2 linked regions of the Macaca fascicularis genome follow. The protein of the gene in region 1 interacts with the protein of each later gene in a pairwise test. Links are inferred from orthologs where the notes say so. Each region holds a gene or a part of one and is shown in the gene's direction. Other genes may lie near its edges.

The links. The genes of interacting proteins can lie anywhere in the genome.
Region 2: the proteins of GUCD1 (region 1) and CTH interact in binary tests that used the Homo sapiens proteins (3 or more experiments, as listed by UniProt). The two-hybrid records come from large-scale screens. The link is inferred for Macaca fascicularis from reciprocal best matches to the Homo sapiens genes GUCD1 and CTH.

What each region holds. Positions count from the first base shown.
Region 1 is NC_088384.1:28,891,373-28,897,394, forward strand, and holds the end of GUCD1 (protein GUCD1), read left to right. Parts: intron 1-1,426; coding exon 1,427-1,668; intron 1,669-2,410; coding exon 2,411-2,505; 3' UTR 2,506-4,803; downstream 4,804-6,022.
Region 2 is NC_088375.1:164,244,072-164,249,881, reverse strand, and holds the end of CTH (cystathionine gamma-lyase), read left to right. Parts: intron 1-3,468; coding exon 3,469-3,607; intron 3,608-3,890; coding exon 3,891-3,917; 3' UTR 3,918-4,466; downstream 4,467-5,810. UniProt on the Homo sapiens protein: Catalyzes the last step in the trans-sulfuration pathway from L-methionine to L-cysteine in a pyridoxal-5'-phosphate (PLP)-dependent manner, which consists on cleaving the L,L-cystathionine molecule into L-cysteine, ammonia and 2-oxobutanoate.

The sequences.
Region 1 (6,022 bases):
AGTGGAAAAGCTGTTGCTGTCTCCGTTTCTCGGGGGAGGAAACTGAGGATGAGAGAGACACCCAAGGTCACCCCCAGCATCTTGACCATGGCATGATCTGAACCCATGCTTGTTATTCCTTGAAGCCTGTAGTTTTTCCTTCCAGCCAGCCTCCTGCTTTTTCCCTATAGCTGAAATTCCACTCTTGTACACTGCCACTGGGAACTCAGCCAGCTATTTTGTTTCAAAGACCAAATGGAAAAATGGCACGTTTCCTTGGCCAAGGCAGCAATCCAAACTGCCACGTGACTCAGCTGTGGCTGAAGCTGGGCCAGGCCATGTGGTACTGATGCTGCCACTCCTAAGGAAGGCACCAAGTGGGTGAGCAGCCCCTCCAGCAAAGATGCAGGAGCCCCTGGCCTAGAGCTCCCCCTGCCCACAGCCCCATCTTCCCTCTGCCCCTCTGGGTGTTTTCTTTTGTCTTTTTTTAAGAGACAAGGTCTTACTCTGTCATGCAGGCTGGAGTGCTGTGCTGCAATATTGCAATATAGCTCACGGCTACAGCCCAAGACTCAAGTGATCTTCTTGCCTCAGTCTCCCGAGTAGCTGGAACCACAATCTCATACCACCATGCCCCATGCCTGGTAAATTTTTTAATGTTTTTGCAGAGACAGTTATTGCTGTGTTGCCCAGGCTGGTCTCTAATTCCTGGGCTCAAGCGATTCTTCCACTTTGGCCTCCCAAAACACTGGGATTACAGGCGTGAGCCGCTGTGCCCAGCCCTGCTCTAGGTTTTCATGTGGATTTGCTGCCTAGTGGAAGGTACAGGATGGGGCAGCACCTTCTGTTAGTGAGGGAGGCTCCAGGCAGATGTCATTGCTGAATTGGAGCTCCCCTGGAAGTAATGTGGCCCAGCCCTTCCTGGGCAGCCCCTTCTGCCACAAGGAGCCTTAGGAAAAAAGTAAAATAACTCTTTCAGAGAAGCATTTGGTTTTGAAAGTGTCTGAGCCATGCGTGGCTTAGATTTAGGGGATTAGATTGGGCAGGCAGTTTTCAACGTAAACTACATATGATTTAGGGTAGAGGAGAGACAAGGCTGGGCAAAAAGAATTCACTAACCAGCCTGGGGCACAGGAGGACGATGGTTTCTGTGTGCTGCTCTAGTGGCCCTTGACTGGACCCACCTGGAGCTGAACTGCCCTCCCCGTGAAGGGCCTGACAGGGCCAGCTCATCTTTGTGCACACTCAGACACGCACACCATACCAGTCTCCTGCTTGGCTCTAGGCTGAGCCTGGGCCACAAGTGACAGAGCAGGGAGTTCAGGGCAAAGGGAAGAGGAGCCGATCTCCAAGCTTTGTAACAGAGAAACAGGAACAAGCAGGGATCCAGTTGAGGGATGGGGAATGGGGGCCCAGCAGCACCAGCTGACCCCTCTCCTGCCCACAGCACAGTGAGTGTGCAGGACATCCAGGCGCACCTGGCTCAGGGCCATGTGGCCATCGTGCTGGTGAACTCTGGGGTGCTGCACTGTGACCTGTGTTCCAGCCCTGTCAAGTACTGCTGCTTCGCCCCCAGTGGCCACCGCTGCTTCTGCCGCACTCCTGACTACCAGGGCCACTTCATCGTCCTGCGCGGCTACAACCGGGCCACTGGCTGCATCTTTTACAACAACCCAGCCTATGCTGACCGTGAGTGCTGGGTGGGGCGGGTGAGGCAGAGTGGGCCACATTCACTGTTCTGTATGGCCAGTGCCCATGATTCCCACCCATGCAATCTAGTGTGGCCAGGGCCTCCCTTACCACCTTTTCCCCAAAGCCCCTGCTCCTCCTTTACTCTTGTCACTGGAGCCACCCCTCAGGCCATGCAGGCAAACCTGCAGCAAACTATGCCAGCCTTCTCTACAACCTGGCCACCTCTCCCTCCCACACCACAGGCCCCACGCCACTGCCCAGGTCCCTGCCTCACCCTTTCATGCTGCACAGGCTGCACCCCTCCCCCAGCCCCCAGGATGGCCAGCACATTCCTCAGAAAGAAGCCGGCCAGAGCCAGCCCCTGCTCTAGACCCATCCTGGCCTGCCTGCTGCCCTCCAGGCACAGGGAAGGGCCGCCCTGACTCTCATAGACTGGATTCACAGAGACAGCCCCTAGACGCCCTGATCACATAAACTTACCCCATCTATGTGGCCTGGAGCATGTTTCTTCCCCTCTCTGGGCCTCACTTTCTCTAACTGCTCAACTGGGGAGGAGTCAGAGAAAGCTCATGAAGACCAGGATGGGCAAGGAGGGCTTCCTGAGGGTGGAGGACTTGAGCTGAGAGGAGTGGCCATGCGGGTGGAGCACAGACCTCACCCAGCTCTCCTGGGCACTGTGTTGGTGGGGTAGGTGCTTTCTCACAACCCACTGACCCCGTTTTGCCCTCTCCACCCCCAGCAGGAATGTGCAGCACCAGCATCAGTAACTTTGAGGAGGCCAGAACCAGCTATGGCACAGATGAGGACATCCTCTTTGTCTACTTGGACAGCTGACAGCAGGAGCCTGGTGTGCCCAGGCCCTTGGACCCCATCCCCACCCCAGCTGGGCCCACTCAGGATGCCCTGGCCCAGGCCTGGGGCTGCTGGGGCTGGAATGTGGAACTGCAGCCTCAGCCCATCTGGCAGAGCCCCAGAAACTCTGGGATACTGTGGCACAGCTGCTTTGTCTGCCAGTGCCGTGTGTTGTCATGTCGCTCACGCCAAGCACCTGCTGGCTGCTGGAAGCATACCCCAAGACCCCAAGCCTGACTCCAGCTGTGCCCACAGGAAGTCCAGTCCCAACAGTGCCCTTGTTGCCTTTGAGCCAGACCCAAGGCAAGGGTCTCCACACAGACCGCAGGGCTGAGTCTGGAGAGAGAAGTCCCTTGACTAATGCCACTTGTCAGGACAGTATGAGAGTGTCTGGAGACAGCATAGTTGACCCCAATCGCCCAGAACTGAGGACCCCTCCAGGCCCCTCTCTTCTGGAAGTGCTGCATATGCCCCCATGCCCCGTGGGTGACGACACCACCGTCTCCTGCCTACCCATGGGCCCAAGTTTCTGTGGCTCGTTACAGGGTGTCTGGCCCCTGCCACCCAGCATAGACACACCTCACAGCTGCCCTGCCGTGCAGTGCCCTGGCCCCTGGAGACGCTTAAGCCACCCACAGCCCTCCAGGTCCTCCAGCTCAGATGGAGGGCTCTCGGGGGTGTGGCCTGGGCCTAAATCCCACTGGTAGGCCTGATGGCTGGCGGCACAGTGCGTGCTCTGGGAATAAACAGCTGCCCTAGACCCAGAGGGATCTCCACACCCAGGAAGCCTCCTGACACCAGCCTAAATCCTGACAGCAGGGTCTGCCCTCTGAGTGTGGGGAGCCCCTAGTCCTTTAAGGTTGGCTGCTAGGGCCTGTGCTCCAAAGCAATGGGCAGGGGCAGCCTGCAGCTACCCACGCAGCCTGGTCTTCACACGAGGTTGCACATGATACTGGGCCTCTTTTATCTTGACGGAAAAGAGGGGTTCCTGCCTAGGATCTTACAACACAGCAAGTAGCATAGAGCTCTTTACTTCCTCTTTTTTTCTTCTTTGGTTGGGGTCAGGGGTTGTTTGAGATTTAAGTTTTCATTTTTGAGGGGTAATCACCTTCAAGTATAACAGTAATCGTAAGAGTGAAGGTACTTTGGAACCACTAACACCTCTGCACAGGGCAGTTAGCCAGCTCAAGTTCTTTTTCAGAGAAAGGGACTTGGCCAGCGGTTTAAGTATCTGCCCCTTCACCTCACAGACGAGGCAGCTGATGAGGCAGCTGGCCCAGTCTGGGGAGGCTGCCCAGGACAATGGTGGAGCTGGGCCTTGAACCCCAGTCTGTACCGAAAAAACTAAGGGAAATTGATCATTTTCAAAGGGGCAACAGTGATACCATCCCTGCACTCCTGGGTCCTGCTCTTACAGTGCCCAAGGCAGGGCATGGGGGCAGCTGGCCCCTCCCCCACCAGGTGACTCTGGGGGCAGAGGTGGGCTCTGTTTAGGAGGGCGGTCAGACCACCTAGCCAAATTGCTCCTCAACCCTAGACAAAGCCTTTGGCCAAGAGGGAGGTGCTGTTAGCTGGGCAGCCCTTCTGGGTTTCAGAGACCGGTGTTGGCTCCAGACTGGTCTCATCTCCATTGCCTTAATGCCAGGTGGCCCAGGAGTGCCCATGCACAGCAGCTGTAGGGTGTGGGCATCTTCAGGAGTGTTCTGGTAAAATTGTGAGGATAGCTGTGTGAAGGAAACCAGTGGAAGGAAATGAAGTTTTCAGGATGGCGGGATGTGATTCAGACACAGTGCACATGCTGTTAGGGCTGTCACTAGGGAGTGGCCTTCATGGAGGGTGGTAACAGCACCTCAGTCCATCCAAGATGTTTAGAAATAGTCTGCGGTCCCAGAGGACGGCTTCTCAGGGCACGCCACAGTTAAAGGTCACCTGCCTGGAAGATGAATGAGAAAGCTGCCCGTTCTGAAGACCCACCTGCCTAGGGAGGGTCACAGAGGCAGGATGTAAGCCACACTGTGTTGCATTCTTGCACAAGTCATGAAAATGGGGCCAGAGAGCGAGCCTGGACATCGGGGACTTCTGCCCACAGCACATGACACCCACAGCTGCCCAGCCTGTCCACGTGCTGGGGACCAGCACAGCACCTGAAGCCATGTGTGACAGTGAGCTTTGTTCATTCTAGCCACAGGGGGATGAAAGGGATCTTTTGCATCGCAGAGATTTTATATATATTTTGTTTGTAATGAGCCATTCTCAATAAACATTATTCTCACTGCAAAATGGTGGTAGCCCCTGGCTGGCCTCTGTGAAGCTGTGTTGATCTGCAGAATTCCTGTCCCTAAGTTCTCAGCATGAGCACATGGGAACCCAGGTCCTTGTCTTGCCATACCCAGTTTAGCTGGGACTGGAATCCTGTTTTCTGTTTTCTAGGGCCATATCCATCCTATTCAGGCCTGGATGCTTGTGGCCGTCCTGGACAGGCAGTACTAGGGGTAGAAGGGCCTCGGGGCTCAGCTCAAGTGAACTGCAACAAATGCAACTACAGGAGACACCACAGAATGAGGGGGATGTTGAAGAGGAGAGACAAAAGTGGGTGGGATGGCCGGGCACGGTGGTTCACACCTGTAATGCCAGCACTTTGGGAGGTGGAGGTGGGCGGATCACGAGGTCAGGAGATCAAGACCATCGTGGCTAACACGGTGAAACCCCGTCTCTACTAAAAATACAAAAAAAAAAAAATTAGCCAGGCGTGGTGGCAGGTGCCTGTAGTCCCAGCTACTCAGGAGGTTAAGGCGGGAGAATGGCATGAACCCAGAAGGCGGAGCTTGCAGTGAGCCGAGATCGCACCACTGCCCTCCAGCCTGGGCGACAGAGCAAGACTGTCTCAAAAAAAAAAAAAAAAAAAAAAAAAAAAAAAAAAAGGGTGGGATGGTGAGTGCTGGGTGGAGCTGGCTGCTCAGAGCATGCAGAGTTGGGGTTGAGGTCTCAGACCAAGAGTGCAGTAGCGCTATCTCGGTTCACTCCAACCTCCACCTCCTGGGTTGAAGCAATTCTCCTGCCTCAGTCTCCTGAGTAGCTGGGATTCCAGGCACACACCACCACGCCCGGCTAATTTTTGTATTCTTAGTAGACATGGGTTTTACCATCATGTTGGCCAGGCTGCTCTCGAACTCCCGGCCTCAAGTGATTTGCCTGCCTCAGCCTCCCAAAGTGCTGGGATTACAGGCGTGAGCCACTGTGCCTCGCCAATGTCATCACTTTTAAAGGAGCACTTCTATTCCTTCCCATCCTCCCTCAAACACATCATCTTGTCTGTCTCCACTGCTGTAGCCCCAGTATCTGACACCTAGTAGATGTTCAATAAATGTGAGTAAATGGATAGTAGGCTGAAATGATACCTGTTTCAGCAGCTTTCCTGTACTTTTCAGAACTAAAGGTGATCATTAAGGGGGAGGCAGAAGGCCAGGCGCGGTGCCTCATGCCTGTAATCCCAGCACTT
Region 2 (5,810 bases), on another chromosome or scaffold:
TGATGTCAGCTTTAATGATTGGGAAAGAAATGTGACAAGGTCAGGGATAATTCAAGATATTTAACAATAAGAATAGCATGACATTAATCAGAATGGACTCTTACCCTGTCAAGATGGAGACCCTGATAAATCTCATGGCGGGCTACTTGTTAGTGAGTCGTGTCCTCCCAAATGTTGCTTCCTTCCCTGCTCTGTCAAAAAGAGATTCCAGCAGTAATTGTATTCTAGGATCTCTGACCTCTGACCTCTAACCTAGGGCCACATGTTCTACCCTACTTAGCCTTAGAGGGGACTGGAGACTTTGTACTAGAAAAGCTTCTTTCAAAGCTCTTTGGGAAACAGAGAATTTGTCTCTGATGAAACTCCTCCATGCCCTTGATTATTGGAGAAGAGCCCTACTAGATACTGTCAAATCTTTTGCTTTCTGTTCTCTGTGGGATAAACCTTTAATATCTTTATGTTGTGTACAAAATAAATCCAAACCCTAACTTGGTACCAGGCCCTTCAGTATCTAACCCAATCAATTCATCTAATTTTATCAAAGCATCAGAGGATATTGGTACAAGAAGCAGCCTAAGATCATACAGTCCAACAGCTTATTTTACAGGCAAGGAAACAAAGATCCAGAAGGTTGAGCTGATTGATTCAAGTGTCACATAGGAACATGTTAGCAACTTCACTCTTGGATTTGCATCAGAAACAGTGAGGGGAGGTAAAAGGTGCCTGGATCTGGATTTGAGATCTGCTTCCACCAATTAGTTAACCTTTAAACTTCCATTTTTTAACCCATAAAATGAGATTAATAATTAATGATTTTTGGCCTGGTGCAATGTATTATGCCTGCAATTACAACACTTTGGGAGGCTGAGGTGGGTGGATCACTTGAGGTCAGGAGTTCAAGACCAGCCTGGCCAACATGGTGAAATCTTATCTCTACTGGAAAAAAAAAAGGAAAAAAGTATCTGGGCGTGGTGGTGCACGCCTATAATCCCAGTTACTTGGGTGGCTGAGGTATGAGAATTGCTTGAACCCAAGTGATGGAGGTTGTGGCAAGCCGAGGTTGCCGCAAACCGAGATCACACCACTGCACGCCAGCCTGGGTGACGCAGTGAGACTCTGTCTCAAAAAAACCAAAACAACAACAAAAAATTAATGATTATTCATTTATTGATTACCTGTACCACCAAGCATTCCTGATATATATATTACCTTTATTATATGCTACTATGGCCATATGTTGTAATTATTGCAGGGTTAAGTCAACATCATAACCTAACTATTTTTAACTATACTAAATATATACGGTGTATTTCTGTGTCTTCATTTTCATAAACATTTGTGGAATAACTTGTTATGCAAGCATTGTGTGGAGAAATGTCAGGGCCCACCAAAGTTTAGGCCTCTTTTCTGTCTTTGTTTAGGAGTTTACAGTTAGACAGAAAGTCAGGCAGTCTCACAAAGTTTAAAAAAAAAAAAAAAAGATGTCCAAATAATGACTTGAAATAATTCATTGAACACAGCTTTTTGTTAGTCTTTCCAGAAGATGCCTGCTAGTAAGTTTGGATGCACAAGAGGGCACACTCAGCATGGGAAATGGGTTTATTTTTCATAGTAATGAAATGTGTATTACCTTGAGACTCTCTTGTCTTAAATCTCTCCTGATTTACGTAGGGATTTTTGTTTAAAGTTGCTTGGCCCCCAGACACCCTGGTTTAGGCTATAACCGCGATGCCAGAGGATGGGTGGATTTAGGTCAGGGCTTGTCTGTTCTATGACCCTTCATTCTGTGTCTCCCAACTCTGCTGCTACTAGTAGAGCATTGCAATACGGGAGGGAGGAAGTGAAGATAATGTTTATTAGCTTAGTCTCCCAGCCTCACAACACATATAACTCTGTGACCTTGGAAAAGTTACTCATCCTCCCTAAATCTCAATTTCCTTGATTTTAAAATGTGGGCAACACTCTACATAGCTTTTAGGTTTTTTGTGAGAACATGGGAAAAAATCTCCCTAAGCGAATGCCTTGGTTCATACTAAGTACCACGTAAATGTTAGCACCTACTATGAACTATTATCTTTTATTAGGCATCTCTACTACATTCCAAGTGCTTCGAAGTGCTTTATCCATGTTCCTTCAAATTAATGCCTGTGACAAACTTTGAAGACAGGTGTCATATCCAATTTTTATTCATTAAAAAAATGAATTAATGCACGCAAACCAGCTAGTAGAGTATCTGCCTCATAGTAAGCATACAGTAGGTGCATCTGTTATTATTTCAAATAAGGAAATAGGCACTGAGGATGAGTAACTTTTATAAGGCCACACAGCCAGTATGTGGAGGGGCTAAGATTCATATCCAAGTTTGTTGGTCTCTGAGACCTGAGTTCTTATTTCTACATGTACACATTCTTTTAAGGAATTATGAGTCTCCCAGGGCAGAACATTTTAAGATGGATGTTTCTATCTAAACACTTTAGTAGTGTGATAAAGGAAGATATCCATCACTCAGACCACAACTGAGATGTTTTTTTTTCCCCCATGGCTCTCATGTAAGAAAGGAGAAAGCAGCTTAGGTATTGATTTTGCGGGTGGCATGCAGGGAAACGAAGAGTGTTGGCTGTAGTATACATATTGGGGCTAAGGGAGATGCTAAGCCTCTCCTCCATTATTCTTCACAGAAATTTCTCCTTCCTTGAAACTTTGGCAGTGTTTTTGTCTATACCTGTTTGGCATTGTTTATATAGACTATTTTGTTTTGTGAATTGTCATAGTTTTTAGCTCCTGCTTTGTTATTTAGGGTAAAGAAAACATCTCATTCTTCTTGGTTTCCCAATTTTTACTGCAGTGCTTGACATATGGGTGCTTTTCCTTTACATCTGTTGATGATGGTAATGAGCTGCTAGATAGTTTGAAAAATCCTTCTAGGCCTCTATGCCAGGAGTTATATTGTAGAATTCTGAATGCATAGTGGTTGCTACTAGTGATTCTTGGTGGTCTTTCTCCGATGTGCCTCAGAAGGTCCAGCTCTGAATTGATCCAGAGGAAACTGATTATGACAGGCTTTTGGTCCAAGAGATCTCTTGTAAGTAACAGTCCAGTAGGTTGGTCACAGAGTACACGATTTCTGGCCAAAGCCTCATGTAGGCAGGTATTGAAATCTACACCCTGGGGAGGCTATGCCTTACCCTACTGCACGGGGGTACTTGACATACACTTTCAGTGTTTGGATTGAGCATATCTTGCCGAAGGTATAAAGAAGATTAAAAAAAATCTTGCTTTTCACTTAAAATCATAGCTCGAAGAAATAAGTTTCATAATTTTCTCTTTTTTTGCCTGTGAATTATAGGGGTATGCAAAATTTGATATTTGGAGCAGAAAAATTTTGAGGGTAATTGCAGTTTATGAGACAGAAACATGCCTCCACTGACACCATATAGTGATAAAAAATTTGCTCATGTCTTCTTTCAGGGCAATCATGACTCATGCATCAGTTCCTAAGAATGACAGAGATGTCCTTGGAATTAGTGACACACTGATTCGACTCTCTGTGGGCTTAGAGGATGAGAAAGACCTACTGGAAGATCTAGATCAAGCTTTGAAGGCAGCAGTAAGTCTTATTATTGTGTGTGTGTGTGTGTGTGTGTGTGGGTGTATGTGTATGTGTGTCTGCTTTATCCTGAGCATGGGGGTCACTATATTTACAAAGAGTGGTCTCATGTGAACTCTAAAGCTTTTCTGTCCCTATAATAGACCAGGGGTATAAATAAAGGTACAGGGAGCTCAGTCAAAGTGCTTAAAGGATGGTAGTATTCAGTAAAAGGACTTCTTGAGGAGTTGAAGCTATGGCCTATATGTTTAATAACATATTTTCTTGTACACTGTTATTATAGCACCCTCCAAGTGGAAGTCACAACTAGTATTCCAGAGCTGCTATTAGAAGCTGCTTCCTGTGAAGATCAAATCTTCCTGAGTAATTAAATGGACCAACAATGAGCCTTTGCAAATTTTTCAAGTGGAAATTTTAAGGCACCTCATTATCTTTCATAACTGTAATCTTCTTAGGGATCATCTCTGTTAAAAAGTTTTCTGTATGTCATATTATAATTACAGGTCAATTCTGTTAATATCTTTTTGTTAATTTTGCTCTATGTTTGCCTCTGAAGGAGGTGAGATTTTTGCTGCTTTGGGGGATCATGTTCTTTTTTCATGTCTAAGATTTATTTTGATCATGTTTACAATATAATGGTCATTCATTTTTTATGTTTTGTGAAGAACTTAAATTTAAGCGAATGTTCTTAAATCAAGTGTGATTTTTTTTGCATATCATTGAAAAGAACATTAAAAGCAATGGTTTACACTTAGTTACCATAAGCCAAAAATCAAATACTTGAAAAGTTTACTGTGAAATTCTACTGATTTAAGATTGTACTTAATATTAAAAAAAATAAATCTAATTATCAAATGCATCCCATTGTGGTATTCCTACATTATGTGACATTAACCTATATTCCTGGGTCCTTTTAATTCCCAACTACTGCTCTTAGAGGTCTTAGCCTTTTGTGTTAATTTTTATAAATGTAATTAAATAACTATTATTCCCAAATCTTAGTGTTTGCAGATTAGTTATAAATCCTATATATGGCAGGTTAAAGGCCACCTTTTTACAGAGAAATAATACTTTTTATATTTTTATCTGAAATAGTACAGTTGTTGAGAATAAAGGAAGATACGTTTAAAAATAGAATCTTTTGGGCCTGGTGGTACATGCTTGTAGTCCTAGCTACTTGGGCAGCTGAGGTGGAGGATCTCCTTGAGCCTAGGAGTTCCAGACTGCAGTGAGCTATGAATGCGCCACTGCACTCCAGCCTGGGCAACAGAAGGAGACCCTGTCTCTAAAAAAAATAATGAAATAGACAATTTTATAGTTGAGTGTATAGTTAGCAAGTTGTCAGTGAGCCATAAGTCAAAAATTAAATCTTAAAAATTGTTTTTATACTAAAGGTTTCTCATCTTATAATAAATCTTGATATTGCCATTTGTTTTGGTTAAAATAATATCATACAGCCTGATGAATAACAGTGATGTGTAGGAGGAGAATACATAAAAATACACATTCTTCTGTATTGTCCACACTCTTGAATTATGCCTATTGAGTCTGGAAATTCTGTCTCTAGAGGCAGTAGCATTTTGAGGCAGGTCCTGTCTCACTGTGGTTTCTGCCAGAACTGATTTCTTGCCATCTCAAGGCCTTAGGGCTGTGGAAATTAATGAAGATCAACCAAATGAGAAAAGGAAAGGCTATTCTTAGCTTACTATAGCAAGGGAGTTAGCCACCATCACCTGGGTTTTGGCAGAAAGTCAAAGGCAGGCAGATGGGTGGAAAAGTTTTATAGTGGAGGAAAGGGAAGCCTTCAGGTATGTCCTAGGTGAAGACTGTTGGCATGGGGAAACTGGAAGCAGGTTGACTGGAGTCAAGTGTTTCACAGTGGGCAGGTCTGTGTAACTCTACACCAAAGTCTAAGGAAGTTGAGAGGCCAAAGAGGCATCCGGTTTCTTAGAAAGAAACATTTAATAGGGACTTAGGAACAGAAGCCATGACTGTATCTTGGGCAGTGATGGGGCAAGTTGGTGAATCCCAGCATAATTACCCACCAGACCCAGGACTTACATGCCATAGGGAGAGGAGTGGTTGAGAAGGAATTTGTAAGACAACTGAAGTATGCTAACATCAAGGCTGTTTGACCTAAGGACAGGATTTACTGTATGTATGAGTTTATCAAGGGTGACTTACTCTAAGGACAGGATTTACA